Anolis sagrei: one gene and its partner. The protein of the gene in region 1 interacts with the protein of each later gene in a pairwise test. Links are inferred from orthologs where the notes say so. Each region holds a gene or a part of one and is shown on either strand. Other genes may lie near its edges. The genes, in order: PNKP and ZNF639.

Region 1 (15,637 bases):
CCTTCCTGCCTGCCTAAACTTCTGGGGCCAGGTTGTGAAAACTCGTATTATTATTATCATTATTAGTTGTTGTTGTTGTGTTGTTGTTCATTTGTTCAGTCGCTTCTGACTCTTCGTGACCTCATGGACCATCCCACACCAGAGTGCCCTGTCTGCCATCACCTCCCCCAGCTCCTTGGGGATACCATCCATCCATCTTGCCCTTAGTCAGCCCCTCTTCCTTCTTCCTTCCATTTTCCCCAGCATCATTCTCTTCTCTAAGCTTTCCTTTCTTCTCATGATGTGGCCAAAGTACTTCAACTTTGTCTCTAATATCCTTCCCTCCAATGAGCAGTCAGGCTTTATTTCCTGAAGTATGGACTGGTTGGATCTTCTCGCTGTCCAAGGCACTCTCAGAACTTTCCTCCAGCACCACAGTTCAAAAGCATCTATCGTCCTTCACTCAGCCTTCCCTATGGTCCAGCTCTCAAATCCGTAGGTGACTATGGGGAATACCATTGCTTTAATTATGCGGATCTTGGTTGCCAGTGTGATGCCTCTACTCTTCACTATTTTATCGAGATTTGTCATTGCTCGCATCCCAAGAAGTAAGTGTCTTCTGATTTCCTGGCTGCAGTCTGCATCTTCAGTAATCTTTGCACCTAGAAATGCAAAGTCTGTCACAGCCTCCACGTTTTCTCCCTCTATTTGCCAGTTATCAATCAGTCTGGTTGCCATAATTTTGGTTTTTTGAAATGTTTAACTGCAACCCAGCTTTTGCGCTTTCTTCTTCCACCTTGATTAGAAGGCTTCTCAGCTCTTCCTCGCTATTATTATTATTGACGCTGGGTGACCATCTGGAGTCTGGGCAAGCGTTTTAAAACAGAGTGGTGAATTTCTTCTCTCTCTCCTCTCTGCTCGCTTCTGCCTGGAGTCTGGAAAGCATTTTAAACCAGCGTGGATGAATTTCCTCCCTTTGCCCCCCCCCCCCCTTTTCTGGAGTAAAACAACTACTTTCAAAGTAAAGACCACTCACTGAAGCAGGAAATAAGACTTTCAACCCATTATTCAGAATTCGGAAGTCTCGGAAGTTTCAAAAAGTTTTGAACATTTTTTTCTATGAAAATCGAAATTGATTTCCGAATCAAACCACCTGCGACCTTTATATCCGAAACGAGTTTTGAACAAGTTTTTTAAATCAAACAAGCCTAATATCTACTTTCTTTAAACCTTATACATTCACTTCAAAAATTCTCATTCACAACAACAGTGAACATGGTCAGAAATATTAAATATTAACTGGGTGTTTTTGATTACAAGTCAAGCCCTGAAAGAGTGAGTAGGCCAAAGCCTGTTAGTGTTCGTTTGTCTCAGTTGAGAACTCAGTCAGTGTGAGGTAAATCTCTGTCTCAGAGTAAAGCCTTGTGTGTGGAGCTCCAGTGTATAATATTCATCTCCTTTCACACTGTTTTTATGATATGTTTTCACGCAAAGCAGAGGCTATTTCAAGTCTCTCTTGGCCCATCTTCCTCACAAGCTTCTCTCTGAAGAAGAAGGGCAACAACACTTAGAACTTGAGAGTTTAAGAAGGTCATTAGAGAGTGCAGTAAAGGGGTGAGGGGGAGAGAGTATTCATTTCTTCCCGTCCCTTCCCCTGTAGACTCACATCCGAGAATGTCACACGGAATACCTCAGTGCTGTCAATGTCCCCGCCACAGCCAAACTCAGCTCCCAAGTGGTAGGTGGTCTCACTTTCTGTCAAGAAGAAAGAAAAAGGACAGTTGACACTATTAGCATTTTATATATTTATTTATTGACAATATTTATATTCCGCCCTTCTCATCCTGCAGGGGACTTGGGGCAGATCACAGAACACACCTACGGTAAACATTCAACACTGATTACACCATGACAAGACAGACAACAGGTAGAGGTATATATAGGCTTTTTCTCATCATTCGGAATAAAATCCCGGAAAAACCCCCACATATAAAAATAGTAGGGCTGGCCAAACACGGAAAAATTTGTTTCTAAACTCGATTCGTTTTTGGGGGGTTTTTGCGTTTCGATTTTTAAAAGAATTCTGAAATTTTTCTTTAATTTCGGAAATTACGAAACAATTATGAAACAATTACGAAACAATTACGAATCGATTCGTTAATGGCGGACGCGACCGCGCAATACGCTAAAAAACCTCCAAATGGGACAGGGGGAACTTCTGAAACTTCCCTCTCCCTCTGTTGTTGACTGTTGGTGTGATATTTATAATTTTTTTTTCACTGATTAAACAAACAACAACTATAAAACTTGCCCCAGACATGCGGAAATAATAACGAAACGAATACGAAACGAATACGAAACAATTACGAAAAGAATTGAAAAATTCGTTTCGATTTTTAGTTGCTCCTGAATGGTTCGTTATCAATTCGTTATAAAAAAAATAACGAATTTTTAATGAATTACGAAATTAACGAACGAAACCACCCAGCCATAAAAAATAGCATTAAAACCTAACATCAAATTAAAAACCTAGCATCAGTAACGTAAACTTGACATCAATAAATTAAATTACACATAGTCAAACAAAATTCTATAATAATATAGATCTAAACAAGACATCCATAGCAATGTACAACAGCCATCAAGGGTTCACCAAAAACTGCAGGTTGGTTATGTGATCGTTGGGCTGGTGTGGACCAGTGAAGCCTAAATAAAAATAATTCTCAACCAGAGGCTCGGCAATGATCTCTCAACCATCTAATCCTCTTCCTCTCCATATGCTAGTATGCAAAAGTAGATCTTCAGTTGGTTTTTAAAGGAGAGGAGGGAAGGGGGCAACTTTATTTCTATAGAGAGGGAGTTCCAGAGGTGGGGAGTAACCACGGAGAAGGCCCTCTCATTCCCACCAGCTGTGCTTAAGATGGGGGTGGGACCAAAAGCAGGGCCTCCTCTGATGACCTGAGTGCCCAGGCTGGTTTGTAAGACAAGATGGACCCGAGCCATTTAGAGCTTTCAAAGTGATGACCAAGGTAATGTGGGGCTGCCACAACATGGGAGTGGATGTCTCTCTGTACGGAGCTCCTGTTAGCAATCTGGCCACAGTCCAATACATTTTTTTAATATAGATTTTTATTGAATGCTTTTCTGGTTCTACAAATAAAATATAGATGATAGGGAGGGGGAGAGGTTATGGGGGTGGGAAAGGCTCATGGTTGGGGAAGGAATGGGGACTTATATGTGGGGAGGGGGTACACACAAAGGGGAGAGTAGGGTTATGGGAAAGGGAGGGAACATCTTGACTTCCCAAACTAATTCTCCACGTGTGCCAGGAAATAAATTGGTGAAGTAGGAGTAGAAATCTCAGTTCTTTTCTATATCTTCGGCTTCTCTCCTGCTAATAATCAAATTTGCTCTGTTTTCTTCTTCAGTTTAAAGTCTTCTTCTTTAGTTTCAATTGTAGCCACCTTTCTTTGTGATCCTCTCTTAATCTTCAGTCGGGTATTCGACTCAGCAAATAGTTTCCAATCTGTTTTCTTTATTGATCTTCCTTTTGATTCTTTGGGACAGAAGGCCAGTTTGTCCATGTCTCTTATTTTGCTGGCTTTAATTAGCCATTCTTCTTTGGATGGAAGTTCTTTTGATTTCCAGATTTTCGTGTACACCGTTCTGGCTGCCGTCATTAGGTATGTGAACAGAATGCCTTTATTTTGATCTAGATCCGTATCTTCATCTGTTATCCCTAGAAGGAAATATTCTGGTCTCTTCTGAATGTTCGTCTTCAGCATTTTCTAGTATTCTTCTTGTACTGATTTCCAGTATATTCTTGCTTTGGTACATGTCCACCATAGGAAAAACGTGCCAGTATGCATGACCAAATGTGCAGCCAATATAGGTAGACCCATAAAATTTAGAGAATGGGAACAGATCTGGCTCAAAAAGATAAAATACACCTACTCAACTGACCTGAAAGAAAACTGGCTGAAAATGTTCTATAGGTGGTACATGACACCTCAGAAACTAGGACTAATGTATAAGAAAGCGCAAAACAAATGCTGGAAGTGCGGATCACATACCGCACTGGCTTGGTGTGATTCACACTACAGACAAGAGCCTTGGCCATGGCTTGAGCTACATGTGCTTTGTCCTTGTTCCATCTTTTAGGCTTTCCATTAAAACATCTGGCTCACCCCTGGGAAATACAATGCTCTGCTGTGTAGACCTGGTCTCTTGAGAGCATGATTTAAACCAAGATGTTTTAAGGGAGAGTATATGTTTTTGGGCAACTGAAATAACACTTCTGAAACTGTGCTGGCACGGCTGTGCCAGGAGATTTGAATGTCTTTTCTTGCACTGTTGGTTTGTTTGAATTTCATCTGGGCCATGCATTTTGCAATTGGGTAGCTTTCCCCAGGTTGCAATCAGGGCCAATAACTTATCAATCATCATTAGAGCCTTTATATCTGCCCCTTTCCCCAGGTTTTGGAGGGAAAAGGGGATTTTCAGTTCCATCTCACAAATTGAAGCCTTACAGTAGGACATGTGGGTTTCTCTCTACCCCACCTTCGCTTCTTACAGCTCTGCCGGGGTAAAAGGTTTAGGTTTACAGCCAGCTTTGCTGGGGTTAAAGAAACAGATCTACAGCAAGCTCTGCCGGGCCAAAGATATAGAACTACAGCCAGGTTTTGCTGGGAAAAAAGGAAAATCTCTACAGTTTTGCTGGAGAGTAAAGAAATAGTTCCATAGCCTTCGTGGAGAAGCTAAAAGGACACCAGCTTGGCAGATCTGCAACAACCATTGCCTGTTAAGGGACCACTCGAGCTATCCATAATGCAACTTGGAGCCGGGAGTTGGGGCCTCATGCCAGCACGGTTAAGAAAGATTGCCCAAGGAGGGGTCGGAAGGTTTCCCTAAAGAAGATAGGAGCAGTTTATCAAGCAGTTGCCTTTCTCTTGTTGGCAGATCAAGAAAACTACTAGTTTTAGAAGATTATATGGCATTTTATTCATTTGTTCGAAAATTTAAACCTTAATAAAGAACTTTGTTGGACTTACTTTGAGCCTCTACAGAACTTTGTTTTGGGAAACCTAAGGGACCCTTTAGCTGGGGAGGCCCTGCTCGTGATCCCACCTACGTCCCAAGCGCGCTTGGTGGGGACGCGGGACAGGGCCTTCTCTGTGGCGGCCCCCCGACTTTGGAATGCCCTTCCAAAAGAGCTTCGTCAGGCCCCTACTCTAGCAGTTTTCAGAAGGAATCTAAAAACTTGGCTGTTCCGATGTGCCTTCGTAGATTAGGAATCCCCACCCCAAGTCCTAGAAGCACTTTAGCACAACCAATGCTGCTGCACACCACACTTTAATCCTACGTTCCTCCTGCCATCTCAGCACTTTTAACCCTGTACCCCATTGCGCTGGCCGAACCAGTTTTAATAGTGTCTTGATGTATTGTTATTGTGGTTATTTTGCTTAACTGTTTGATTTGCTTTGTTTATTGTTGTGTTATGTTTTCTATTGTATTGTGTTTTGAGGCTTCGGCCCGTGTAAGCCGCATCGAGTCCTTCGGGAGATGCTAGCGGGGTACAAATAAAGATAATAATAATAATAATAATAATAATAATAATAATAATAATAATAGCTGAGGCACCCCAGCGTCCCGTTAGGCATACAGAAAGCACGTCCTATAAACAGACATTGTCATAGGCCCAGCGCGCGAAAGCACAGAAACTGCTGTTTTTGTGCATTGGCATATCTTTGTTCCTAACAGTACAAAGAGATATCTAGGTATATTGGTCTAACAGCTGAGAAAGCTAATTGCCTTGCATGAATTGTCTCTAAGGAAGTGGATCAGGGAACTGCTTTGTAGGAATCACGAATGCAGGTTATATAGGAATTGTGGACACAAAACAAGGTTGTGTTGTTGTTTTTTGCACTGTCTGGCCATGTTCCAGAAGCATTCTTTCCTGATGTTTCACTTGCATCTATGGCAGACATCCTCGGAGGTTGTGAGGTCTGTCAGAAACTAGGAAAATGGGATTTATATATCTGTGGGAAGTCCAAGGTGGGAGAAAAAACTCTTGTCTGCTTGAGGTAGGTGTGAATGTAGCCATTGAAATCCACAAGCATGTGGACAATTTCAACAGAAAGGAAGAAGAAACCATGAAAACAAACACAATCTGGCTACCAGTATTTTAAAAAACTCTAAAATCATAACAGTAAATAAAGAACAACACTGAAAAACAGAGGAATTCCAGACAAACAACCAAGGCCAACCCCCGCCCCCCCCCCCCCCCCAATTTTCAGGTTAAAAAAACCCCTGGTTTGCTCATGAATTTTAACTGGTTAACCAAATCCCCATGCTAAGTCTATGAGACGCAAAAAATTAAGAGTCCCTCCAGAACTGCAAGCACTATCTCAAGCAAATATTGATTTATTCACACTGTCATTACTTGCAGCAATAGCCCATGTAGCGAAGCAACCAAGTTGGGGGGGGAGGGTTGAATGCTCTCATTAAGGAGGCCAGACTTGGTGGAGGTGGTTGACAGGGGCGGAGCCGGAGGCTATTGAAGGCTGCTCTGCCCCCTGCTGTGCTCCTTGCTTCAGCGTGAGCTAGGAGGCAGGTTTCACCTCCCCCATCTTAACCCCCCCCCCCCCCCGAAATTTTTCTGGCTATGGCCCTGGGGCCAACTAATCACCTCTCAACAAAAGATTCCCCGAGGCAATAAGAAGCCAGACCTTGAAAACTGCTAGGTCATTAAATGCTAATCAAGGCCAATTGCTACATTCACGCTTGCCGCCAACAAACAAAAGTTCTTTCTCCCACCCTGGACATTCCACAGATACATAAACCCTGTTTTCCTAGTTTCTGACAGACCTCACAACCTCTGAGGAGGCCTGCCATAGATGTGGGCGAAACGTCAGGAGAGAATGCTTCTGGAACATGGCCCGAAAAAAGGGGGAGGGGGAATGCTGCGCATGCGTACTTACTTACCAGAAGAGGCTGGATGGGGTCATCGGCGGGGTCCAGGGCGGGGTGGGAGTGGCGGCGGGCTGGTGGATTGCCGGGAGCAGGGATCGTGCCTCCGGGCCCCAGTTGTTGGTTGGGCGGGGAGGAGGGGCCTCGGGGGCGGGGAGGAGGAGGACTGGCAGTGCCCCCTCCTCGACCTCTCTCCCCGCCAGGAGGGCCCGGAGAGGTCCCTGCTCACGCCGCCTCCCTTTTTGTGGCCCGCCCCTGGTCTTGGCCCCACCTACATCTACTATAGTTTCTGGTGCCTCCCTCCTCCTGCCCAGGAGGAGAGGCTGGAGGGGGCCCTGTTTCCTGGGCTGGGTGCGAGGCAGCCCCGGCCTGCTCCCGCCTGGGTTGGGCTCCCCCAGGGCGGGGAACAGGCGGGGCTGCAAAAACTGGGGCTCCTTGCGGGCCACTATCTCATTTGTTTTCCGGGCCCAAATTAGGGCCCGGTTCTCCGATGCCCTTTGAGCGCCCCGTTCTCCAGGGGCCCATATGGGCCGCCTTGGTGGTGAAGGTTTGGATATCAGAGGCATCCTTGACTAGGCTGCAGACTGAAATGACAAGGAGGAGAGGTTTTGAGGGAGGGGGGTTGGCTGTGATTGTGATGCGGCAGGAGGGATAGTGACAGGGGGTTTAGGGGTCCCATCCTCTGAGAGGGTGTGCTCAGTCACTTTTCCTTACAGAGTTTGGCCATGGCCTTCCTCTGAGACAGAGAGTGTGTGCCCTGCCCAACTCCATCCAGGGCTGAAGGGGGGGGGGGGTTAGACCCTATTCCTTAGGGAGCTTTTCCATGGCCTTTCTCTGAGGCTGGGAGAGTATGGCTCATCCTCTAACCACCTCCTCACATTGAGAAATTTCCCCTTGACAGGGCACCCCAGCCTCTTTCCTATCATGGAGAAGCACTGAGCTCATAAAATGTTCCAGGGTTGGAAAAAGGCCAATATCTCCTGAAAGGAGGGAACTCTGACCAGGGCCCAGCAATAATAATAATAACAACAACAATAATAATACGTTATTTATACACCGCCCTATCTCTCCAAAGGGACTTAGGGCGGTTTACAGACAAAAGAACCAAGTGGCAAACACTCATTGCCAAAACAATCAAACACCAAACAGCAATAAATCACCTGGAGCAGGCATGGATCCCATGGAAAGCAATGGTTTTAGCTTTGATCACTTTCTCATGCATCCTCTGTGATTTGGGACAGAACCATAAGATCCCAAGAAAAAAGTGGTTTTACAACACCATAAAGTAAAAATATCAGAAAATGCCAGGGACCAGAAGGAAGGAGGAAGTCCTGATGGCTCTTTGTCATTGAGGATGGAGCGACAGCACCCCCCTGTGGCTGGATTCGAGCCTAACTCCCAAAGGTACCAAAAAGCCAGATTCAACACAACACAACATGCCTCCTTTTTGTTCTGTCTGTCTTTGCCCTGACAATGTGTACTGTGACTTGCCATGAGTCCCCTTGGGGAGATAGGGCGGAATATAAATAATAATAATGATAATAATAATAATAATAATTTTAAACTGGTGTCAATCTCCTTTAAGGTAAGGGGCTTAGGGCAGGGCAAGGGATCTCTTGATTTTCGGATATTGTTGTTTCCTCTGATTGAAAAAAAAAGTAATACTGACCTTGTGATGGATGTAAAAGATGAATATATTGTCAGCACTTAATAATAATAATAATAATAATAATAATAATAATAAACAACTTTATTTATACCCCGCCACCATCTCCCCCAACGGGGACTCAGGACGGCTTACATGAGGCAATGACTCTTGGCAAAGGAACTCCTTGGAGGCTGGGCCCAACCCTTCAATGTGTGTTGTTAATGGAGCTATAGGTGGGCTGCCAATATACAGTTCCAGTGAATCTAACCTTGGTTCCTGTTTGTCCAGTACTGATGGATACTTTCCCATTTATAAAGTCTGAGAACGATAGATTGCGATATCTCAATAGTGTTAAACAGTGGAAGCAGCCGTTTACAATCAATGCTTGGCACAGAAACATTCCCACACGATGGAGGAAAACTGAGGTTATTGCCATTTTAAAACCTGGTAAAGATGCCTCCAACGCCAAGAATTACCGACCAATGTCTCCCTTATGTCATCTGTATCCTTAAGAGATGGAAGAGAGTTACATGCATTTTTCTTGATTTGGAAGCAAATCCGGAGAGGCACAGTTTGGTACACCTTTATTGTGTGGATTCTGCATTGCAAAATCGGTTTAGAGCAGGGATCCCTAAACTAAGGCCTGCGGGCCAGATGTGGCCCTCCGAAGTCATTTATCCACTCCCTGTACTAAACTTTAGGCTTAGGATTGCACTAAGTCTGAAATGACTTGAAGAGAGACAACAAAAAATTGTTCTTCATTTTAAAGATTGTTTGTTCATGTTTCTTCACACTACAAAATGAAATCTGTGCAGTATGCATAGGAATTTGTTCATTTTTTTCACACTATAGTCTCCCCCCCCCCCCCCCCCACTTCTGTTTCAGGCTGTATCTATTCTATAGAATCAATGCCGTTTGAGATCACTTTAACTGTCATGGCTCATGGAAGGTGTACCTTTATCAAGTCTTTAGCTGTTACTGCCAAATTGTGCTGGTACCTCATCCAGCTACAAATCCCCCGGTTCCACAGCATTGGGCCATAGCGGTTAAGTGCTGTCAAGCCGCTATAATTCTACAGCGTAGATGCACCCTCCGCCTTCTTCAAGAACATTCACAATTTATATGGTGCCTTCTTTTTCCTCCCCCATCCCTTGTCTGAACAGCTTGGATGTGGCTGTCCACTGTCTTAATGCACAGTTCTACCACTTGGATGTGAAAGTCTCCCAGTTTTTCCAAGGCCTGGTTGAACTGAAGGGTGGCCTGGCCGAGACCTGCGAGTCCCTCGCCTCCTTGAATGAAGTCTCCACATGCAACCAGAAAGAGCTTTATGCATTGATGGTGAGGAAAGGAGGATGGGGTTGGCCTAGATTCATGATGGTGAAGCAATGACATGCGTATCAGCACTGACATGCGTAGCCATTTTCAATGACATGTGGCCGTATACGGCTGCATACAGAGAAGTATGGGGTCGCATGCCGAGAAGGACATTTCATCCTTGGCTCCTGCACAGCCAGCTGCAATAGCTAAGGATTAAAGTAGTGTAGACACTCTGTGCTGGAGGTCTGTAGGCCAAAACAATAGAACTTCGGCAGAGATCATCTTGTTCTGGGACTTCTGATTACCGGTAGGCCATTAGGGGATCTTTGACCTCACTACTGTCCAGTGAAGCAGGGAACAGCGGAATGCCGTGGGGGACGCATCTCTGGGGGCCCTGTGATCACTGTTATCAGCAACCACATAACCACACCAACCATCATCCAATCTACTGTTCTGGAGTGTTGAGTCAGCTAACTGACCATCATTACTGAGATACAGGGGGAGACTGGGAGAGGCAAGGGCCTATGCTATGGGTGCCATTTCCCACCATTAGAAATAGCAGCAGATGAAGTTAGTAGCACTTGCTTGGGTTTGAACTGTACAAGATACCAATCTTCAATTGAAGATTTCACCTCTCTTTCCCTCTAGAAGCCTATATCAAAGGAACCACATGAACTATAACATTATTATTATTATTATTATTATTATTATTATTATTATTGAACTATATGAAATAGAAGGCAAATGTACATGAACTGCAGTAACCTCTTGGGCAATCTCTTGAGCAATTCCAGATACCCCTTCCACGCCTTGTGTGAGAACCAGAGATGGGACATAATCTGGGCAACAAAGAACCTAACGGGAACACAGCAGGAGGCCATGAGCCTGCCACCCAAACTTCCCTTCTGGGCATCATAGGTATCCATGGGACAAAAGTCTTCCACATTGCTTTTGCTTTGTTTCCTTCAACAGCAGATCCAGAACTGTCTAGGACTTTAAAGGTCATAACACCAGCACTTTGAATTGTGCCCGGAAACAAACTGGCAGCCAGTGGAGCTGCTGCAACAGGGGGATTGTCTGCTTCCTGTAACCAGCCCCAGTGAGCAACCTGGCTGCAGCTCTTTGGACCAGCTGAAGTTTCCAAGCACTCTTCAGAGGCAGCCCCACATTGAGCGTGTTACAGTAATCCAGACGGGATGTAACTAAGGCGTGTACCATTGTGGTCAGATCTGGCTTCTCAAGAAACCAGCACAGTGGGCGCACAAGTTTTAATTGTGCAAAGGCCCTCCTGGCCACTACAGATATCTGGGCCTCCATAGTGCTCACTGAAAACTCTTGTTTTGAAACATTGCACGTCTCAAGGATCCTGATTTTTGGTAAATACTTTATTTCAATGTTTCAAAAATAATATTTTACAGAATATCAAAATTAACAAAATAACACGACTTCTTGCTTCTGCTATTTGCTACTGTTTCCCCCCTTTTTTTTGTTTCTATAAGAGTTCACTAGCACCACTAGAAAAAAAGTAATTTGTATCTGAGGCCCCTTCAACACTGCCATATAATCCTGATTATCAAATCAGATAATCCACATTATCGGCTTTGAACTGGATATTTGTCCACACTGCCACATAATCCAGTTCAAAGCAGATGATCTGGATTTTATATGGCACTGTAGGAGGAGCCCTAAAGTATTTGGCTCATTGGGGAATGATCCCCAACCATGAACAGAAAGATGTGTAGCTTCCTCTCTGATTCATTCTAGAAGAAGGATAACTTCAGGCTTATGTGGTCTTCAAAATGAAACAAAATTATGATCTCAGTGGTCCACCAATGTGGCACAAAGGACATAATCAGTGTGACTTGACAGTGAAGATATAACTGGAGTTTGATTTCCATTGCTAAGTAGACAATTCCCGATGCTTCAAAAGGCACATGTGATGAGGTCCCAAGTTATGTGATCCTAGAGTATTTTTGAACTGCCTTGCTTGCAAAGGACCTGATCCAACCAAGGTCCTTTCCAAGAATATTGGCAAATAGAAGGCAATAGTTGAGCTAACAATAATTCCTGCTCACTGCGATATTCCCTTATAATGCTCTCCAGTCAGTTAATCAGTCCCCATTCAATGCATCTTCCTGTCACAATGAGGTTGCCATGGCTGCTGTGCTGTCTGAGTAGCAAATTTAGGATTAGGTATCAAAGGCCAGGCAGTTGTGCTTAAATGGCAACTTGGGCTATGTACACATATATTTTCAGAGGTGCTTGTGTGGATTGCCATAGAAACACGGGAAGCTTCTTTACAACAGGAGATATGGGGCCCTTGCACACAGTCCCCTATCCCAGAATATCAAGGCAGAAAATCCCACAATATCTGCTTTGAACTGGGTTACCTGAGTCCACACTCAATCCCACACTAATGTGGGATTTCATGCCTCGATATTCTGGGAAATTCGGCTGTATGGAAGGGCCTATGACTGCCATGCATACATATTTGAAAGGATGTTGTAAAGGAAGAGGGAGCAGGCTTGTTTTCTGCTGCCCTGGAGACTAGGATTCGGAGCAATGGATTAAAACTATAGGAAAGGAGATTCTGCCTGAACATTTGGAAGAACTTCCTGATCTGCCTCGGAGTGCACTGGAAGCTCCTTCTTTACAGGCTTTTAGCAGAGGCTGGATATCAATCTGTCAGGGGTGCTTTGATTGTGGCAAGGGGTTAGACTAGATGGCACATGTGGTCTCTTACACCTCTATTATTCTAAGGGCCATTCCACACAGCCATATAAACCAGAATAACAAGGCAGTTAATCCACAATATCTGCTTTGAGCTGGATTATGTGAGTCTACAATGCTATATAATCCAGTTCAATGTGGGTTTTTTTTACAGCTGTGCGGAAGGGGCCTAGGTCAAACCAATGATCCAGTAGTTGTGTACTCTAGATTTTTTAATTGGATATTCTCCCAACATGGAATGTTGCAGTCCAATACATTTAAAGGTCATCAGATTAGGAAAGACTGACCTGGTGTGATTCATACTACACACAAGGGCATTGGCCATGGTTTGAGCTGCATGTGCTTTGTCCCACCTTTTAAGCTTTCCTTTCAGACATCTGGCTTACCCGTAGGAAACAAAATGCTCTGTTGTGTAGACCTTTGATCTGATCAAGCAGAGTTCATCTTACATTTCTGACATTCCTTCATCTACTATGTCTACTTCTTATAGGAGAAACCAGGCATTGAACTGGATACTCTCTGAGCACAAAGATACGTGCCCTTAGATCCTCAGTCATTCTCATTCATATTACACAAATATAAATTATACATTGTCAAAGAAAATCTAACAAAAGGCAAGCAGACAAGAATACATATTCATTCAATTGCACTGCTGTTGTGTTGAGTTGTGGTTTTAAATTGTCTATATCACATTTATTCTCACAGCAGCCTTTAGAGGAGGTAGATCAGTCTTGTTTTGATTGCAGAAATGGAAAGAACAGGGTTTTTGCAGCATGTGAGTTACTTCATAGTCCTTCCTTCCGTCCAAACATAAGATGTTTAGAATGGTCCATCAGAAACATACACAGAATGATCCTTTAGTTTTTGCATGTTTGGTTTCTAGGTAGCAAATTTTCAAGTGAAGGTTGGAGTGTGTAGATGAGGGTATTTGATTCTAAATGTCTTTAATCAGGACTGGAGTTCATATAGATCTTTTTTTTTTTTTGTCGCGTCAGGAGCAATTGCTCCTGTTGTGAGAGAATTGGCTGTTTGTAAGGACGTTGCCCAGGGGACGCCCGGATGATTTCTGATGTTTTATCATCCTTGTGGGAGGCTTCTCTCATGTCCCCGCATGAGGAGCTGGAGCCGATAGAGGGAGCTCATCCACCTTTCCCGGGATTCGAACCTGCGACCTGTCGGTCTTCAGTCCTGCCAGCACATGCTTTTAACCCACTGCGCCACTGGGGGCTCTAAGTATCTTCATGATTTGAAAAGTGCTTATCTACTGGGCCTAACACAGCCCAAAGACATTGTAGAATTGCCTTTCCATTGGCAAAAGCACATGGGACATTTTGCTTTTCACACACACACACACACTGTTTTAAAAATTCGGTGGGGATAAGAGTGCAGCAGTGAGGTGTAACTGTCTTTCTGTGCAGGGTGATGTAGCCCTGAAATCCCGAGGGATCGATTGCTACAGATGGCATGAACTGTGCAGTTTCTTCATAAGTGCTTGTGGCAAATCCATTGACAGCCTGGTGTCTGTTTGGTTTCCACAGGTTTCTGACAACGAGACATGCTTGAGATTTTGTAAATGGGCAGAGGCCAGAGCAATTTATCTCTTTTGAGTAAATGCTAGCCCTTCAAGAAGTTCAGTCTGCAAGAAAAGAGAACATGTGAATGGTAAAATATCACACTGGAAGAACTGCACCTCTAATGGATCAACAAAGCTAACTCTAATATGTAGATCAACAACGTTATGGAAGTATCAAGCTTGTGGATTTTTTAAATTTCCAATGTAAATACAGTATTCCCTTGCTGCCCCGCAGTTTGCTTTATGCAGACTTGCTATTTTGCGTTTTTTTAAAATAATTTATTTTTAAATAAATATGAATTTATTGGTGCCTGTGGGTCATTGATTGGCACTGATGGAGGGAGGGTGCTGAGGTGTTGCTGTCAGGGAAAGAGGGGGAGGGGAGGAGGCCGTCACCGAGGGCACGGGAAGCACCACTACCTTCGACGAGCCCTCTCCTGCGGCCTTCTCTTTTCCCATTCGCGCCTCCTTCCTACTGCAGCGAATTCCCCCTCCCTCCCTTTGCCTCCTGGCCTGCATGCCTGCCTGCGCCATGGGCCAAGGTGCCCAGCGAGGAGAACCTGCTGGTCCCCAAAGAGGGATGCAGGCGGGCCCAAGGCCCAAAGGTGCTGGAGGCGGAGGGGACAGGGTCAGGGACAGGCTCAGGAGGGCAAGGGCTGCCTTTGGCAGAGAAGGCCTTGGCCGGGCAGGCGCGCTTTTCCCTTCCTCCCTGTCAGAGGGCCACTTATCGTGGTGGGTCCTGGAACAGAACCTCTGCGATAAGTAAAGAAATACTGTAGAAGCTTTATAGGACATTTTCCCCCTCAGGACCATAGCAGGGAAGGAAAGGATTGAATTCATGCCCAATGACACCTCTGTTTGAATCCTAATAATTATCAGCTCCATCCAACCTTACCTATTCAGTGTGGTTTGGCATTAATTAGGTGAGCTCATGGGAGAGAGAAAATGGTAGCCATGGGAGAGGCTTTTTGATAATAAAAGGAAGCAATGTGTGTTTGTAAAATAACTGTTTTCCCATTTTCTCTCACTGGCAAAGGGGTAAGAGAGGAGTGATGTCATGTGATTGTGATAAACCTCTAATGCCAGGAACTACCGGCCAATCTCGCTCCTATGTCATCTATATAAAGTATATGAGAGGATCATAGAATCATAGAGTTGGAAGAGACCTCATGGGCCATCCAGTCCAACCACCTGCCGAGAAGCAGGAATATTGCATTCAAACCACCCCGCTGACAGATGGCCATCCAGCCTCTGTTTAAAAGCTTCCAAAGAAGGAGCCTCCACCACACTCCGGGGCAGAGAGTTCCACTGCTGAATGGCTCTCACAGTCAGGAAGTTCTTCCTAATGCTATTAAATCAATTGGGACCTATTATTGAACCCCAGCTTATTGCACAACAAGCAGGTTATAACACAGGAAAAT
Region 2 (15,856 bases), on another chromosome or scaffold:
AGCTGTTTCATGGAACACACACTGTAACAATGGTCAGAAAATATGCCACTGTTGTCTATATATTTTGGGGCCCCTGAAGAATCTACAAAGAAAGAAGGCAAACATAAGCATACAAAATAACAGAAGCACCATAAAATTGTATTTTGATATACACAAACTATATATATATAACAGCCCCCATATTTTTGTTTTGTATCTTTATATAATTTCTGACTTATGGCAACCCTAAGTGGTAGGCTTTACCACTGATTTCCTCTGAGGGCGAGAGAGAGCGACTTGCTCTAGGCTGCCCAAGTGTTCAAAACATTACACTATACTGGCTCTCTACACATAGTTTACAGATTCAATAAACTTTCATTTTAAATTAACAGTGTAGTAAAAACAATATATAAATCCAAACTAGTGCCTTGCTTGAACCAGGCTTGGGAAAAGCGTTCCATGGGCTGCATGAAGCTTGCTCCTAGTGCTGTCTAGCCTCACACAGATATTGCCTATCCTTACTTAAACAGTTACCGTAATTCTCACTTCTGCTATCCATTTCTATCTTTAACTAGTATGCTCAGAAGAAAATGTAAAATGCATTACCATTTAAGTAAGCAAACATATCTGTTCCTAACTAACCTGAATAACGGGAAGGATGTAGAGTTTTCCTTTTTCTCTTCTTCGGATGCTCATTCATTTTGCTTCAGTCTGAAACAGTTGAAAGAACTTGTTAAGGCTCTTTCTTTCAATGTGAAGAGATACAGATAAGCTGTCTCAACCACCAAGATCAGGAATTAGGACACCCCCAGTAATTAACCAACATGATTAGTCTGACTGCTAGCAAGATCCAATATTGTCTAAAAAGAAGCACTAAGGCGAGAGATCATCATGCTCTCTGTGAACACAGATTCTGCATCCACGGATTCCACCACCTACTGTTTGAAAATATTATAAATATCTAAAAGCAAACCTTGATTTTGCCATTTTATATAAGGGGCACAATTTTATTAGGACGTATATAATGGACCTAACCATCCAAAGATTTCAGTATCCACAGGGAGTTCTAAAACCAAATCCCAGAAGACATCAAGGACTCACTGTTCATACAGAGATGACCTGAATTTTTGGGAGACTGGTCTGTCAGTCACAGGGGTATGACTCCAACTGTCAGTCCTAACTAAAACAGACCGGATGAATCAATGGGATCTACACAGTAAGTGCTCATGGAGTCTAGCTGAGATCCACAAATTGATTTAGGCTAATGTTTCAGAGGATGGATGACATATCCAATTAATTTGGCTTTTGCTGATACGCAGGAGCTAGAACGCTGGAAATTACACAGCAACAGAAACAACAGTAGGAATGTCATAATGTCATTTAATTCTGCAGAGAGGAGAAAGCATCAATGCCAACTCTGAGCCAGCTTCCTCTGGTCAGTGCCCTCATTTCCCACTCAAGCATCCAAAAACGCTAGAAGTGGCCTCATGGCAGAGAGAGTAGAAAGGCTGGTTGCTTCTTTCAGGTTCTCCCAGAACAGATTAAGCTCTTGCTTAGGGGATCATTCCTACTTTTTGACAAGAGTTAAAGTACACATTGACCTGTAAGTCATTTCTGGTTTTTTGGGTTGATTTTTCTTCTAAAGCTTATTGAACACAAATATGTAAGGTTTCTGTAAAACCTTCCCAGAATATCTATCACTGTGAGATTTAAAAAGACAACAATGAAACAAAATATAACAAAAAGGTTTTATCGTTAATGGCTGTGGCAAAACAAGCCTGTGTTCCCCAACATTGATGAAAAATCAATGGGAACAAAATGTCATTTGCATCTTTATCTGCCATTTATTTATTTATTTACTGCATTTGTAGACCGCCGTTCTCAGCCCTAGGGCGACTCACGGCGGTGTACAACATATATAAAAAAACAATTTACAATAAAGGCAATATCACAAACAACAACAACATCACTATCAATAATACAATTACACTAAATCATTCACGAGTCTCATCATAGAATCACAATCCAATCTCGTTATCCATATTCCGTTCCAATCATCATTGCCAATTGTTGTAGCACTTAGTCAAACGCCTTCTCAAACAACCACGTCTTTAGTCTCTTGCGGAATGTCATAAGGGAGGGCGCCTGTCTGATGTCTACAGGGAGGGTAGCAATTCCCTTAACGGTTTGTTTTAATTTTGAAAAAGCCTCTCTCCTTCCAGTATAGCAATCCCATCTAGATGGCTCCCAATTTTAAATGACAAATCCACAATTTTTAGGGCGTTATTCACAAGGCACACTTGTGAGACTTTTATGCCAGTTTAGCTAATTTCTAGGAGGCACTAATTATTCTTTTATGTATCTGGTTTCATTTATACTCCGCCTTTCTCTTTCCAAGGGACCCAGGGTGACATACAATTTAAAATAAAACAGAAGGTTAGCTAAAAATATTCTATTAGAAAAGTAAAAACAATTAAAATACATCTAAAATACATAGAATAAATATAAAAAACATAATTGAAAACATACCAGATTAAAAAAAAACCCACTTGGTACACCACTTTTAACTGTGTTCTGCCGTATGATTATATAATCAGGTCTTTCAGCTTATTAGATGGACTCTTCATTACCGAAAAGTGAAATAAGAACAGAAGGACTGTTGACTACACAGCTTCTGACAACAGATGAAGCATCTAAAAAGAGAGAAACACAATCACACAAACAAATCCCAAATGTTTAATTCAGATTATAACACTTTATGCTGCACATATTCTTTTGTGTATAAACATGCACAAACAATCCCTTCTAATTCTGGAAGTATTTATAAATGTTGAATACTCTGGCAAATACAGAGATGTGACAGAGTACATTACATATAGAATACAAGAAGTAACCACGAAGAAGATTCTTTTCCTTCATCTCTGAAACAAAAGCTGAGTGTGTGCACCTTTTCTTTATTTCATTTGCATCAAAAAAAGCTTCTCAGAGGCTGAATTCTTGTATACAGATCAACGGGCAAAATAGTATTGTAATTTCTTAGTTTACAAACTACAAGGACACTGAAGGAATGGGCAAGAGTTCATTGGAGATCAACATAAACAATGCCAGATTGCAAAAATTGGAAAGAAAGCTAAAAGATCATGCTCTTGCTGGTGGAAGGACATCAACATGAAAATTCTGTTTGGCTAGAGAGGAAATCTACACTGATACTGTGAAGGGGCCTAGTCCATTTCAACCATATCAGGACTCAGCTCTCACTTTGGAACTAGGGGGAGTATGGAGAAAGCAGTGACATAACTGATGCTTGCTTTAATAGATATGACAGCTGCAGATATCTTTTTATAATAAAAACTTCTACTAAGGGAGGATGGAAAAAATCTCAATTAAAATAAAATCAATGAAAAAAACCTTGGCAGAAAAAAGGCAGATGTTTTTCTATAAAAGGTCCCGAAAAAAAAAATGAAAGGAAGATGACAAGATGGCACTGGAAAAGAAACAAACCAAAAAAAGAAAATCTAGATAACAATTCAGCTAGTGTGGCTCTTAGACATTTTCTGTTTTAGACAATGTTTTAAGTGTATAGCCACACACACACAGCCTTTTCTCTTATTCTGAACATGGATTTAATAAACACCTCCCTTTCACCCCCCTATCGCTGTCTGAAGGAGGCCTCTTGAATCACTGCGAACCTTGTTTCTCATCTCTGACCTTTGTGCTTGATTTCCAGGCAAGACGGATATTATGTTTGCACTCTTTCGCACAATTACCTCTGAGTATACTCATCTGGAAAGATGCCTTATTCTTGAGTAGCTACGGTTACTTTCACAACACAGTTTGATGCCTAGTTACTCACAGATCAGGTTTATTTATTTATGTCCCACTATATCTCTCCATTCGGAGACTCAAAGCGGCTCACAATCAAAAACATTACAGCTTAAAATATACAAATATACAAAAAGAAAACAGTATTATCATTATAAATTATTATATATTATCAGTATTTATTATTATTTATTTATTAACTTTATTTGTACCCCGCTACCATCTCCCCAAGGGACTAAGTGCGGCCTACACCAGCGAGCCCAACAACAACAATACAAGCAATAAAACAACAATACAAGCAATTTAAAAACATAGACAATAAGATAAACAACATTATCAATAAAATAACACACAATTAAAAACAGAGGGGAGGCCAAATGTAAAGTTAAAATTGGAAATATGCTGGGACATGAACGGAAGTTGATACTGGTGTTTGTGAAAGGGCATACGAGCAGACTTAGAAAATGTAAAGGGCTTTGGAGGACAAAGTGCTATGGGATCATTATTCTGGGAAGGCACACTGGAACAGCCACGTCTTCAACTTCCTCCTGAAGACTGCCAAAGTTGGAGCGTGTCTGATGTCTTTAGGGAGTGAGTTCCAGAGTCGAGGGGCCACCACCGAAAAGGCCCTCTCTCTCATCCTCACCAATCGCGCCTGCGATGCTGGTGGGATCGAGAACAGGGCCTCCCCAGATGATCAAAGAGATCATGTGGGTTCGTATACAGTAGTATTATATGTAATATATTATTATAATTTTACAGTATGATTATATTGTATTACATTATATTATTATCTATATTATATGTATATATAATATATTATATTATTACCATAACACATATAAATTATTAGGCTGTATCATTATTGTATTATCTTATATTACATTATATTATCTATATTATATGTATATATAATATATTATTAGACTACACTATACTGCAATATTATTAGTAATACTAGCCGTCACCTGCCACGCATTGCTGTGGCCCAGTCTGTGTATATGTGTTTTGTGAGTCGCCTAAGGGCTGAGAAAAGCGGTATATAAATGAAGTAAATAAATATATATTTGTGTATATATGTGCGTTTGCGTATATATATATATATATATATATGTGTGTGTGTGTGTATATATATTTGTGTATTTGTTTGTTTATATGTGTACATGCATATTGTGTATATGTGTGTGCTTGTCTATATGCATATTTGTGTGTATATATGTATAAATGTGGATATATGTGTGTATGAATGTGTACATGTGCATAAGTATATGCCTGTGTGTATAATATACAGTATATATGGTGTATTTTTAGGTTTTTTAAGTCTGTTCCACTGGGGTTTTGTGTCTGTGTGTGTTTATGGGTGATGGACACTTGTTGGACTGTTAGGGTGTATTGTGTCCAAATTTTGTGTCAACTCGTCCAGTGTTTTTGAGTTATGTTAATCCCACACTCGAACATTACATGTTTATTTTTATATAGATAAAAGGTAATAAATTTGTCAATATTTAATATTGTACAAGACAAGAAAAGACATTGGTTTTCTCTATTAGATCAGGCACTCTATAAAGTGGATTTTTAAAAATCCAGATAGTTAAAACAGATCCGGGAGGAAGGGTTTTCAAGGCAAAAATGCCTTGAAGATTTAGAATATATAATATACAGTTATTATATTTGTTGTTGTTGTTGTTCGTTCATTCAGTCGTCTCCGACTTTTCGTGACCTCATGGACCAGTCCACGCCAGAGCTCCCTGTCGGCCATCACCATCCCCAGCTCCTTCAAAGTCAGTCCAGTCACTTCAAGGATGCCATCCATCCATCTTGCCCTTGGTCGGCCCCTCTTCCTTTTGCCTTCCACTTTCCCCAGCATCGTCTTCTCTAGGCTTTGCTGTCTCCTCATGATGTGGCCAAAGTACTTCAACTTTGTCTCTAGTATCCTTCCCTCCAATGAGCAGTCGGGCTTTATTTCCTGGAGGATGGACTGGTTGGATCTTCTCGCAGTCCAAGGCACTCTCAGAACTTTCCTCCAACACCACAGCTCAAAAGCATCGATCTTCCTTCGCTCAGACTTCCCTAAGGTCCAGCTCTCACATCCGTAGGTGACTACAGGGAATACCATGGCTTTGACCAGGCAATGGATCTTTGTTGCCAGTCTGATGTCTCTACTCTTTATTATTTTATATTATATATACATATATATATATATATATTACTCTTTATTATTTTATATTATATATTACTATATTGTACTATATTATTATATCACAATATATATCATACACTACCAGTATTCGTATTACATAATATATTATAGTATATCATAAGTCGTCGTATATATAATAATATAGTTCAAATATATCATCTATATATCTATATATATAACCATTTGAAGAATCATCAACAGCAGCCATAATAATAATAATAATAACAGGACTGGGTCCGAGGAATGGCTCTTCCCGCTTTCCCACAAATATCGACCAAAATCAAATGTCCACAGGCAGTCACTAAGCTCCAAATAAAGACACAGCGGGCCCTCCCTTCAATTCCTCGCCTCGTGAAGTGAGAGGAAGCGCCGCAGGACTCACCTTGAGCAGGCCGCAAGCGAAGCGACGCCGGAACGGAAGAGACGTGCGCCGAGGGCGAGGGGGAGAGCAGAAAGGGACGGACGCAGGCCACGCACAGCCAATGGGGAGAGAGGAGGCGTGGTTACTGCTGATAGCCACGCCCCCTTGCCGTACCTCGGAATGGTACCCGCGAGGATGGCGGTTGGGAAGGCTTCGAATCCCAGCCACGAGAAAGAGGCGGGGCTTCTGCCGCTAGCCACGCCCCCCTCGCACGAGGCGGTTGGGAAGGCTTCGCATTCCTGTTACGAGAAAGAGGCGGGGCTTATGCCGCTAGCCACGCCCCCTCGCACGAGGCGGTTGGGAAGGCTTCGAATCCCAGCCACGAGAAAGGGGCGGGGTTTCTGCCGCTAGCCACGCCCCCTCACACGAGGCGGTTGGGAAGGCTTAGAAATCCTGTCACGAGAAAGGGGCGGGGCTTCTGCAGCTAGCCACGCCTCCCCGGAAGAGGCGGTTGGGAAGGCTTCAAATTCCTGGCACGAGAAAGGGGCGGGGGCTTCTGCAGTTAGCCACGCCCCCACGAGGCGGTTGGGAAGGCTTCAAATTCCTGTCACGAGAAAGGGGCGGGGCTTCTGCAGCTAGCCACGCCCCCTCGCACCAGGCGGTTGAGAAGGCTACGAATTCCTGTCACCCTGGCCACGCCCCCCTAGGCACGCTCATTGAGGCATAAAGGAGGAGGCGCTCCCTTTGGAAAGGCCTCAAAGGCCACACTCTCTCCTCAACAAGGAATGATATACAGTTGTCAGAGAGCTGACAATCATTTCAAAAATAAAATAGCAGTGGCTTTGGATTACCAGATCTTAAATTATATTATGAGGCCTTTGGCTTGAGCTAAAGGTTGGTCGACACGAAACAAAACAAAAATCTTGACATTAGAAGGTTTTGACCTCAGGGCTGGCTGTGAATTTGTGAACATCCTGCGACTCCTCCATGATGACATGATGGCAACAGTCTTGGACAGCAATGGCTCCCAAAGTGACCCATTTAAGGTGGAATCCGGTGTCAAACAGGGATGTGTTTTTGCCCCAACTTTATTCTCCATCTTCATCGCTTTGATACTTCACCTTGTTGACGGGAAGCTTTCCACCGGAGTGGAAATTCTCTATCGGACGAATGGCAAGCTGTTTAACCTCAGCAGACTGAAAGCCAAAACCAAGGTTACAACAACACGTGTTATAGAACTCCTGTATGCTGATGACAACGTCGTCTGTGCGCATTCAGAAGAAGACCTACAAGCCACTCTAAGCACCTTCGCAGAAGCATACGAGAAGCTCGGCCTGTTATCACTGAACATGGAGAAAACCAAAGTGCTTTTCCAGCAGTCACCAGCCAATCCCTCTCCAATGCCAGAGATACATTAGAAATGGTGTAACATTAGAAAATGTTGACCTTTTCTGCTACCTTGGCAGCCATCTCTCCCCAAAAGTCAACATTGACACTGAGATACAACACCACCTGAGCTTTGCGAGTGCAGCATTTTTCCAAATGAAGCAGAGAGTGTTTGAGGACCGGGACATCCGTAGGGATACCAAGGTGCTAGGTTATAAAGCTATTGTCCACCCAACCCTGCTATACACCTGCAAGACGTGGACTATCTACAGACGTCACGTGCAACTCCTGGAACGATTGCATCCGCGTTTCCTCTTTAAAATTCTGCAAATCTCTTGGGAAGACAAGTGGACAAAAGGCAGTGTGCTGGAAGAAGCAAAGACCACCAGCATTGAAGCGATGGTCCTCCGCCATCAACTCTGCTGGACCGGCCATGTTGTCCGGATGTCCGACTACCATCTCCCAAAGCAGTTGCTCTATTCCGAACTCAAGAACGAAAAACGGAATGTTAGAGGACAGGAAAAGAGATTTAATGATGGGCTCAAAGCCAACCTTAAAAACTCTGGCATAGACACAGAACTGGGAAGCCCTGGCCCTTGAGCGCTCCAGCTGGAGGTCAGGTGTTCTGCAGAATTTGAAGAGGCATGAATGGAGGGTGAAAGAGAGAAATGTGCCAAGAGGAAGGCGCGTCAAGCCAACCCCGACCAAGACCGCCTTCCACCTGGAAACCAATGCCCTCACTGCGGGAGAACATGCAGATCAAGAATTGGGCTCCACAGTCACCTACGTACCCCACCTCCAGTACACTGATCTTGGAAGACAATCTTACTCGGACAATGAAGGATCGCCTAGGTAAGTAAGTAAGAAGAGACTTGGGACAAGAAACGTGGCTCACCTACAGAGAAATATTGAAAAAACAGAATGGAAATCCTATATATTGGCTATGGTAGTCCACGCTCTGGTTACATCCTGAACAGACTACTGCAACACGCTCTCGTGGGGCCGCCTTTGAAGACTGTTCAGAAGTTTGTTTATTCATTCAGTTGCTTCAGACTCTTCGAGACCCCATGGACCAGCCCACGCCAGAGCTCCCTGTCGACCGTCACCACTCCCAGCTCCTTCAGTGTCAAGCCAGTCACTTCAAGGATACCATCCATCCATCTTGCCCTTGGTCGGCCCCTCTTCCTTTTTCCTTCCTTTTTCTTCTCTAAGCTTTCCTGTCTTCTCATGATGTGGCCAAAGTACTTCATCTTTGCCTCTAATATCCTTCCCTCCAATGAGCAGTCTGGCTTTATTTCCTGAAGTATGGGCTGGTTGGATCTTCTTGCGGTCCCTCAAAATTTTCCTCCTTACAAATGGTCTAATGAGTGGCAGCAAGATTGCTCACTGAAGCGAGGTACAGGGAGCGTACAACCCCCGTTGTATCAGCTCCACTGGCTGCCAATCCGCTACCTGGCTTTAGCCTATACAGCCCTAAATGGTTTTGGCTCAGCTTATCTGTCCGAATGTATCTCCCTTTATGAACCACTGTGGAGTTTAAGATCATCTGGGGAGGCCCTGCTCTCAGTCCTGCCTCTCTCGTAGGCGCAATTGGCGAAGATGAGACAGGGCCTTCTCAGTGGTGGCCCCTCGACTGTGGAACTCCCCCCAGCGATGTTAGATCAGCCCCCTCTCTTCTGACCTTCCACAAGAGTGAAAATGTGGCTTTGTAACCAAGCCTTTAAAGAACTTACACAATTAGATAAGAATATCTCTTAATTCCCATACAGACAAATAAGTGAATACTACAATAATGACAAGAAAATAAGATTTTTGAAGGACACTTTCTGGGACAAAACACATAAGAAGCTAATAACTAAAATATAAAAAAAAATTATGAGAATGGTCGACAGAAACAGAACAAGTGAAAGACTGCATGATTAAAAAGGCAGCAAATATTAGGCATACAGTTACATCGGAAGACTGGGAAAAATATGGAACCAAAAATTAAAATTTACTTACTCTTAGGATTTAAAGGAAAATTGGTATAATATGATGTATCAGTGGTACATAACACCACAAAAAATAGCGAAATGCTACCCATGTTTACAACAAGTTAAACATGAGACAACAATGTCATGCAGCTAAAAAAATCATTTCAAAAAATAAATAGACACTAGACTGTGGGAGTCTAGTGTCTAGATCCAGGAAAGTCGTGCTATCCCCCTCTATTCTGCTTTGGTCAGTTCTGGGCACTGCGATTTAAGGGAGATGCTGACAAGCTGGAATGTGTCCAGAGGAAGGCGACTAAAATGATCAACGGTCTGGAGAATAAGCTTCATGAGGAGCTGCTTAAAGAGCTGCTGAAGGGAAGGCTGAGAGGAGACATGATGAGGGCTATGTTTCAAGTTATGATGGGAACTTGGGCCTCCAGGTGGAGGCCCATCTATCATTTCAAGGAATACAATAGCAGCCACCCATGTTGTTATGAATAACTTTTCAATAACTTTAAAGCATAGGTTCTTTTTATTGCAATTTTACTGTATGAGAAAGTGTATCAGAATGACATTGGCCATACAGATGTACAGATTCCATACAATTACATTGAATCCACAAACAACCTACAGTTACATTGGCTAACAAAGGGGAATTACATTTTTACTCAGCATTCACACCACACACATACACATTCAATCCTCCTTATGCATACTTCACCATTCTTTTCCTCTCATCTCACGGAGAAAAATACCTCTTAGGCCAGATTTCCCCCCCCCCTGCAAATCTGCTGTTTTTCCAATACTTCCAAAATGCATTCTTTCCCCGAGAAAGAAGCAAGTGACCAGACTTCTGCTTTTAATTGCAGATCTGCCACTCCCAAATATACCACCTCTCTCTCCTTCCCATGGAGAAGAGCAGTGGATGGGCTAGACTTCTCCGATCTCCAACAAATTTGGAATTGTAATAAGGTATCTTATACAGCAATATTTCTTGCCGATGTTGTTCCAAAGTTGTAAATGATGTTTTCCCAGCCTGAAACATCCCGGCTCCCCAGTTCCTGGCAGATATTGATTCTCCTTAATTGGTGTAGGTAAACATAAGGAGCCTTGTGTTAACTTCCTTTTTAATGTAAGGAACTTTGTAAACATTTCCTTAACTTAACAAGCCATTGTCTCTGAAAATGTAAACATGTTGTTATTTACCCAAAGTTTAACAATCATTGTCACAGTTCCCACCAACAACTTGTAATTATCGTCCATGAATTCTTCACCTCCTTCTCAGTTTTCCGTGCTTCAATCTTAGAATGGCATCTTTATAAACTATATAGACCCCCAACCATACATCTTTCATACAATTCCATTCAAACCATACATCATATTTCATGACAATGTTAAGGGGATAGCTGTGACTTTCATAAGCTGAACCAAACTCAATGTGCATTGAATGAGTCGGGTCAAGGTGTATTGTGACACAAGGGAGGCCATAGGTGTAGGTAACAGGAAGCCAGTCATAGTCAGGAGGATCTGGGGAAATCAACCGGGGGGAGGAAGGCGCCTCAAGGGAATGGATCTGGAGGGAGGAATCGAAGAGGAGGCAGACGCTGAGGAAAACATCACAGAGCTCAATGGAACGCTTGAGGTGCTCATCACAGAGATGGATGAAACTGAGTCGGATACGACTGTAGAGAGATCCCAGGAAGAGATTGCAGTGCTTGATGAAGCTGCTCAACCACACATCGAAGACAACATTGGGAGGGATTACGACTTTGCCATGGATGTAGCTGGAGGAGCCAGGCCAAAGATCAAGGAGCAGCCCCAAGGAAGGCACGAAGAATTGATTGAGCCACCTACCGAAAACCTGATTGAAAACACAGAGCATGTTGGGGCAGACCAGGAAGTGCTCAGGAGTTGGTCAAGAGGAACTCACAAAAAGATCTTGAGGCAGGTTGGGAGATCTTGGGGAGATGTTGCAGAGAATGCCGGGAAAGTCCATGGAAAGCTGGCAGGGCAGAACAGCCAAGATCAAGAAGCAGGGCTCAAGCTAGTCAGGGACTTGTTGGGGGTTGTCACCAGATCTGACCTTCCCCTTGAAGAAAAGCTGGAGCTGGAGTTTGTGACCCTTCAGTTCATGATGGGAGGCAATGTCCACTTGCTTGGGGAGCTCCAAAGCCAAGCGGTGGTGGAGGACTTCCGCCAGGAAGTGTTTGCAAAATTCCCCATTCCAGCTTTCCATGTGACTAGCTCAGTGATCTGCTGTGATCAAGCAGAAAGCCAAAGGCCTGAAAGGAACCTCTCCAATGAAAATGGCTGCTCCAGGCAACAAGAAAGGATCTATTCCCAGCTCATCTTTTTCCTGTGCAGAGCTCCTTTCCTAAAGTCCTGGGACCAACTGGACCGACTGGCAGAAATGCTACACAAGCTGAAGAACTGCATCTACTATAATCCAGTGGCATTGGTTGGGGTCATCGTGCAGGTGGATCCAGATCCGGGTCTGGACGCAGAACAGGAAGCTCGGGCACGCCGTTGGCTAAGGTGTTTGCTAGATGGATTCTTCTGTTCAGATTTATTGTTAGATCAGGATGGGACAGAGCCAGAGGTTCAGGTTCAGGTAGCTGTCTATCAGTCAGGCCAACCAGAGAGAGCGTTAGAAGTCAAGAGGGCAGCATGCCAGGCAATACGAGCAGCCCTAAAGTTCTGAAAAGGCACCACTGATGGCCACTCTGATCGTATCAGGTAAGCTTAAAGGCCTAGAGCAATATTAATACATAATGTACCATATATATACTAATGTATAAGTCCAGAAATTTTAGGCAAAGATCCCAAACATCTGGGGTGACTGGTCCATGAGTCAGTATAAATACTGAACCTTGACTCTTATAAAAAAGGAACCATCCCTTTCTCTGAGTAGAATCGTAAAAAGGCAAAAGCATAGTCTATTCTGGGAGAACCTAAAAGAACTGCCAATCCCCTCTATTCTCTCCACCAGTTCACCGCTTCTGCCCTTTTTCAATGCCGGGGAGGTGGTGGTGGGCCCAAGGCAGTAGTGGTGCATTCCCTTCTCCATAAAATGACGCTTAACCTGTCCATGGGTTATATCAAAATCCGCCCTTGAATGATGAGCGACATCAATTTATACATGAATATATTCATTCATTTCCAAGCTTTAATCCCTAACTCTCAGAAGATTAACCATAATGGAAATGGCTTTTAGTAGCAATAGTCCAACATAGTTTGGGAATCCATGGTTAGGAATCCCGGGACTCTAGATATGAGAATGCAGAAACCAGACAAGAGTCATAGAAATGTAGAAACATACATGGCTGGAAAAAAAGGAGTGTAATTTCTCCTGATTTCAGTTTGTATTACTAAGTGTACCTTGCTTCAGGTCCAACCTATCTTTGAGACCACATCTCTTTTAGCAAACTGGCGCAGGCTCTGAGATTGACAGGAGAGGCCCTTATTTATTTATTTGCTTTATTTCTATACCGCATTTTTCAGCCCTTAACAGGCGACTCAATGAGGTCCTACCACAGTCTCAAGCGCAGCTGGTGGGGACGAGAAGGCCTTCTCTGTGGTGGCTCCATAGCTCTGGAATATCCTTCAAAAAGAGATTAGATTAGTCCCCACCCTTCAGTCCTTCCGTTTCAACCTGAAAACATGGATGTTCAGACACGCCTTTGACCTTGAGTAGGCTGAATGGGCCCATATGAAGCTGACACTTGGCACCTTCTGAATTGACTGCAGTTAATTTTATCTACTGTTGTTTTAAAACCATATTATTTTGATTTTATTCTAGATGTGTTGACAGGGGTTGTTGTTATAACCTTACGTGACTTATTTTATACTTTCGTACTGTTTTTACCTGTTGTATGTTATATGTGCACCCTGGAGTGCCTTGTTGTTGTTCATTCGTTTCTGACTCTTCGTGACCTCCTGGACCAGCCCACGCCAGAGCTTCCTGTTGGCCGTCACCATCCCCAGCCAAGTCCCTTTGGGGAGATGGTGGTGGGATATAAATAAAAATTGTTGTTGTTGCTGCGGTTTCACACCTGATTTTCACACAATGAAAGCCAAGGGGCTGTGTATCTTTTGTCCTGCCCTACACACACAAGCAGCAGTAATATTAAAATAATGCACATTATTTTATTAAATTGTGTATTAAATTGTGTATTAAATTGTAATGTAAACATGTAGGCTCTCAAATTTTGATATTTTGAATTCCAAATCCCAGTAATCCTTAGCACTAGCCTGGGAAATCTGGGAGCTGAACTTCCAGACACAGGGAATATATTTTGACTAAGGGGTGATCGCAACATACAATGCTCAGCAGTAAATACTCAATGCATAGCTGGTTTAGTCTTTTTTAACATAAAAAGGAAAAAAGTAATCCAGGAATCCTTTGATGCAATTGTGTTTGATAAAGAAAAATTAGGAAATATTCTATTCTTCCTATTTTCAAAGGTGCAACTGAATTCCTTGTCATATTTGTACAGTAAGAAATTAGCACTTGATTAAATACCAAGAGTTAACTAAAATAACTGGTTGTCTGGAGCCAAAATCTAGCTGCAGCTTGTACTACAGGCATAATTCAGTTTATAAAATCAATGTATTGATAGGCAGGTGAACGCATGCAATTCATTGATGGCTGAGAGGATAGAACAGTATTCTGTACTTTGTGCCAAAGGCAGAAATAACATGAAAAGAATAGGGATAAATGTCTTCAGAAGAAAGAACAACAGGTCAACATGTTACTGCATTTTTATTAACAATGTGCATTTATAAAATGAGACAACGATTTGTCTTGTGGTTTTAGAGAAATCAACAAAAACATTCCTTAAGCCATTCTAGACTTTAACAAAGCTTCTTAAAATACATTCATGAGTAGCTTTTTCTTTCTCCAGCCAACACTTTTATTATGACTTATTTTTTGTGATGAGATATATAGATAGCTTTTAAAGACATGCTGAAGGTAGCTAGAGAGGCAAAGATGATCCATTCTTCCATTTTCTCTGTGTTGCTGTTCACACATGCTCAGTGAGGAATACTGGAGTCAGCCACTGTTTACTTTGCTCTTTGGAGAAATACACATATGGGCATACTCCTGGAATAGGTATACCTGGTATCTTACTCCTATGCATCTATTTAAGATTCCTAGGAAATAAAGATATTAGTACTGGTAGCTTGGATGTACAAACTATATATAATGGAATAATTTTAAGGTAGTACAATTTTGAGAGGGGAAGAGTAAAAACAAATAAGAGCTGCACTTAGATGCAAATATTATTAGGACACAAGAAAGGGAAATTAATACCACATTAGGGGTTATTCTGGGATTTATTAATGGCAGATGAAATATTAACATCCAACAAATGGGGAAATAATATTAAAAGCTTGTTGTTGTTGTTCATACGTTCAGTCGTCTCCGACTCTTCGTGACCTCATGGACCAGCCTACGCCAGAGCTCCCTGTCAGCCGTTACCACCCCCAGCTCCCTCAAGGTCAGTCCAGTCACTTCAAGGATGCCATCCATCCATCTTGCCCTTGGTCGGCCCCTCTTCCTTTTGCCTTCCACTTTCCCCAGCATAATTGTCTTCTCTAGGCTTTCCTGTCTCCTCATGATGTGGCCAAAGTACTTCAACTTTGTCTCTAGTATCTTTCCCTCCAGTGAGCAGTCGGGCTTTATTTCCTGGAGGATGGACTGGTTGGATCTTCTCGCAGTCCAAGGCACTCTCAGCACTTTCCTCCAACACCACAGTTCAAAAGCATCGATCTTCCTTCGCTCAGCCTTCCCTAAGGTCCAGCTCTCACATCCGTAGGTTACTACAGGGAATACCATGGCTTTGACTAGGCGGATCTTTGTTGCCAGTCTGATGTCTCTACTCTTCACTATTTTATCGAGACTGGACATTGCTCTCCTCCCAAGAAGTAAGCGTCTTCTGATTTCCTGGCCACAGTCTGCATCTGCAGTAATCTTTGCACCTAGAAATACAAAGTCTGTCACGGCCTCCACATTTTCTCCCTCTATTTTCCAGTTGTCAATCATTCTTGTTGCCATAATCTTGGTTTTTTTGACATTTAGCTGCTAAAAGCTAAAAGCTAAAAGCTAGTTACTGGAAATATGAGAAATAATGA

Evidence for each region.
Region 2: the proteins of PNKP (region 1) and ZNF639 interact in binary tests that used the Homo sapiens proteins (3 or more experiments, as listed by UniProt). The two-hybrid records come from large-scale screens. The link is inferred for Anolis sagrei from reciprocal best matches to the Homo sapiens genes PNKP and ZNF639.

Annotation. Positions count from the first base shown.
Region 1 is NC_090026.1:28,271,676-28,287,312, forward strand, and holds the start of PNKP (bifunctional polynucleotide phosphatase/kinase), read right to left. Parts: upstream 7,153-15,637; 5' UTR 6,964-7,152; intron 1,735-6,963; 5' UTR 1,646-1,734; intron 1-1,645. UniProt on the Homo sapiens protein: Plays a key role in the repair of DNA damage, functioning as part of both the non-homologous end-joining (NHEJ) and base excision repair (BER) pathways.
Region 2 is NC_090023.1:257,413,990-257,429,845, reverse strand, and holds the start of ZNF639 (zinc finger protein 639), read right to left. Parts: upstream 6,593-15,856; 5' UTR 6,384-6,592; intron 2,673-6,383; 5' UTR 2,509-2,672; intron 691-2,508; 5' UTR 680-690; coding exon 622-679; intron 83-621; coding exon 1-82. UniProt on the Homo sapiens protein: Binds DNA and may function as a transcriptional repressor.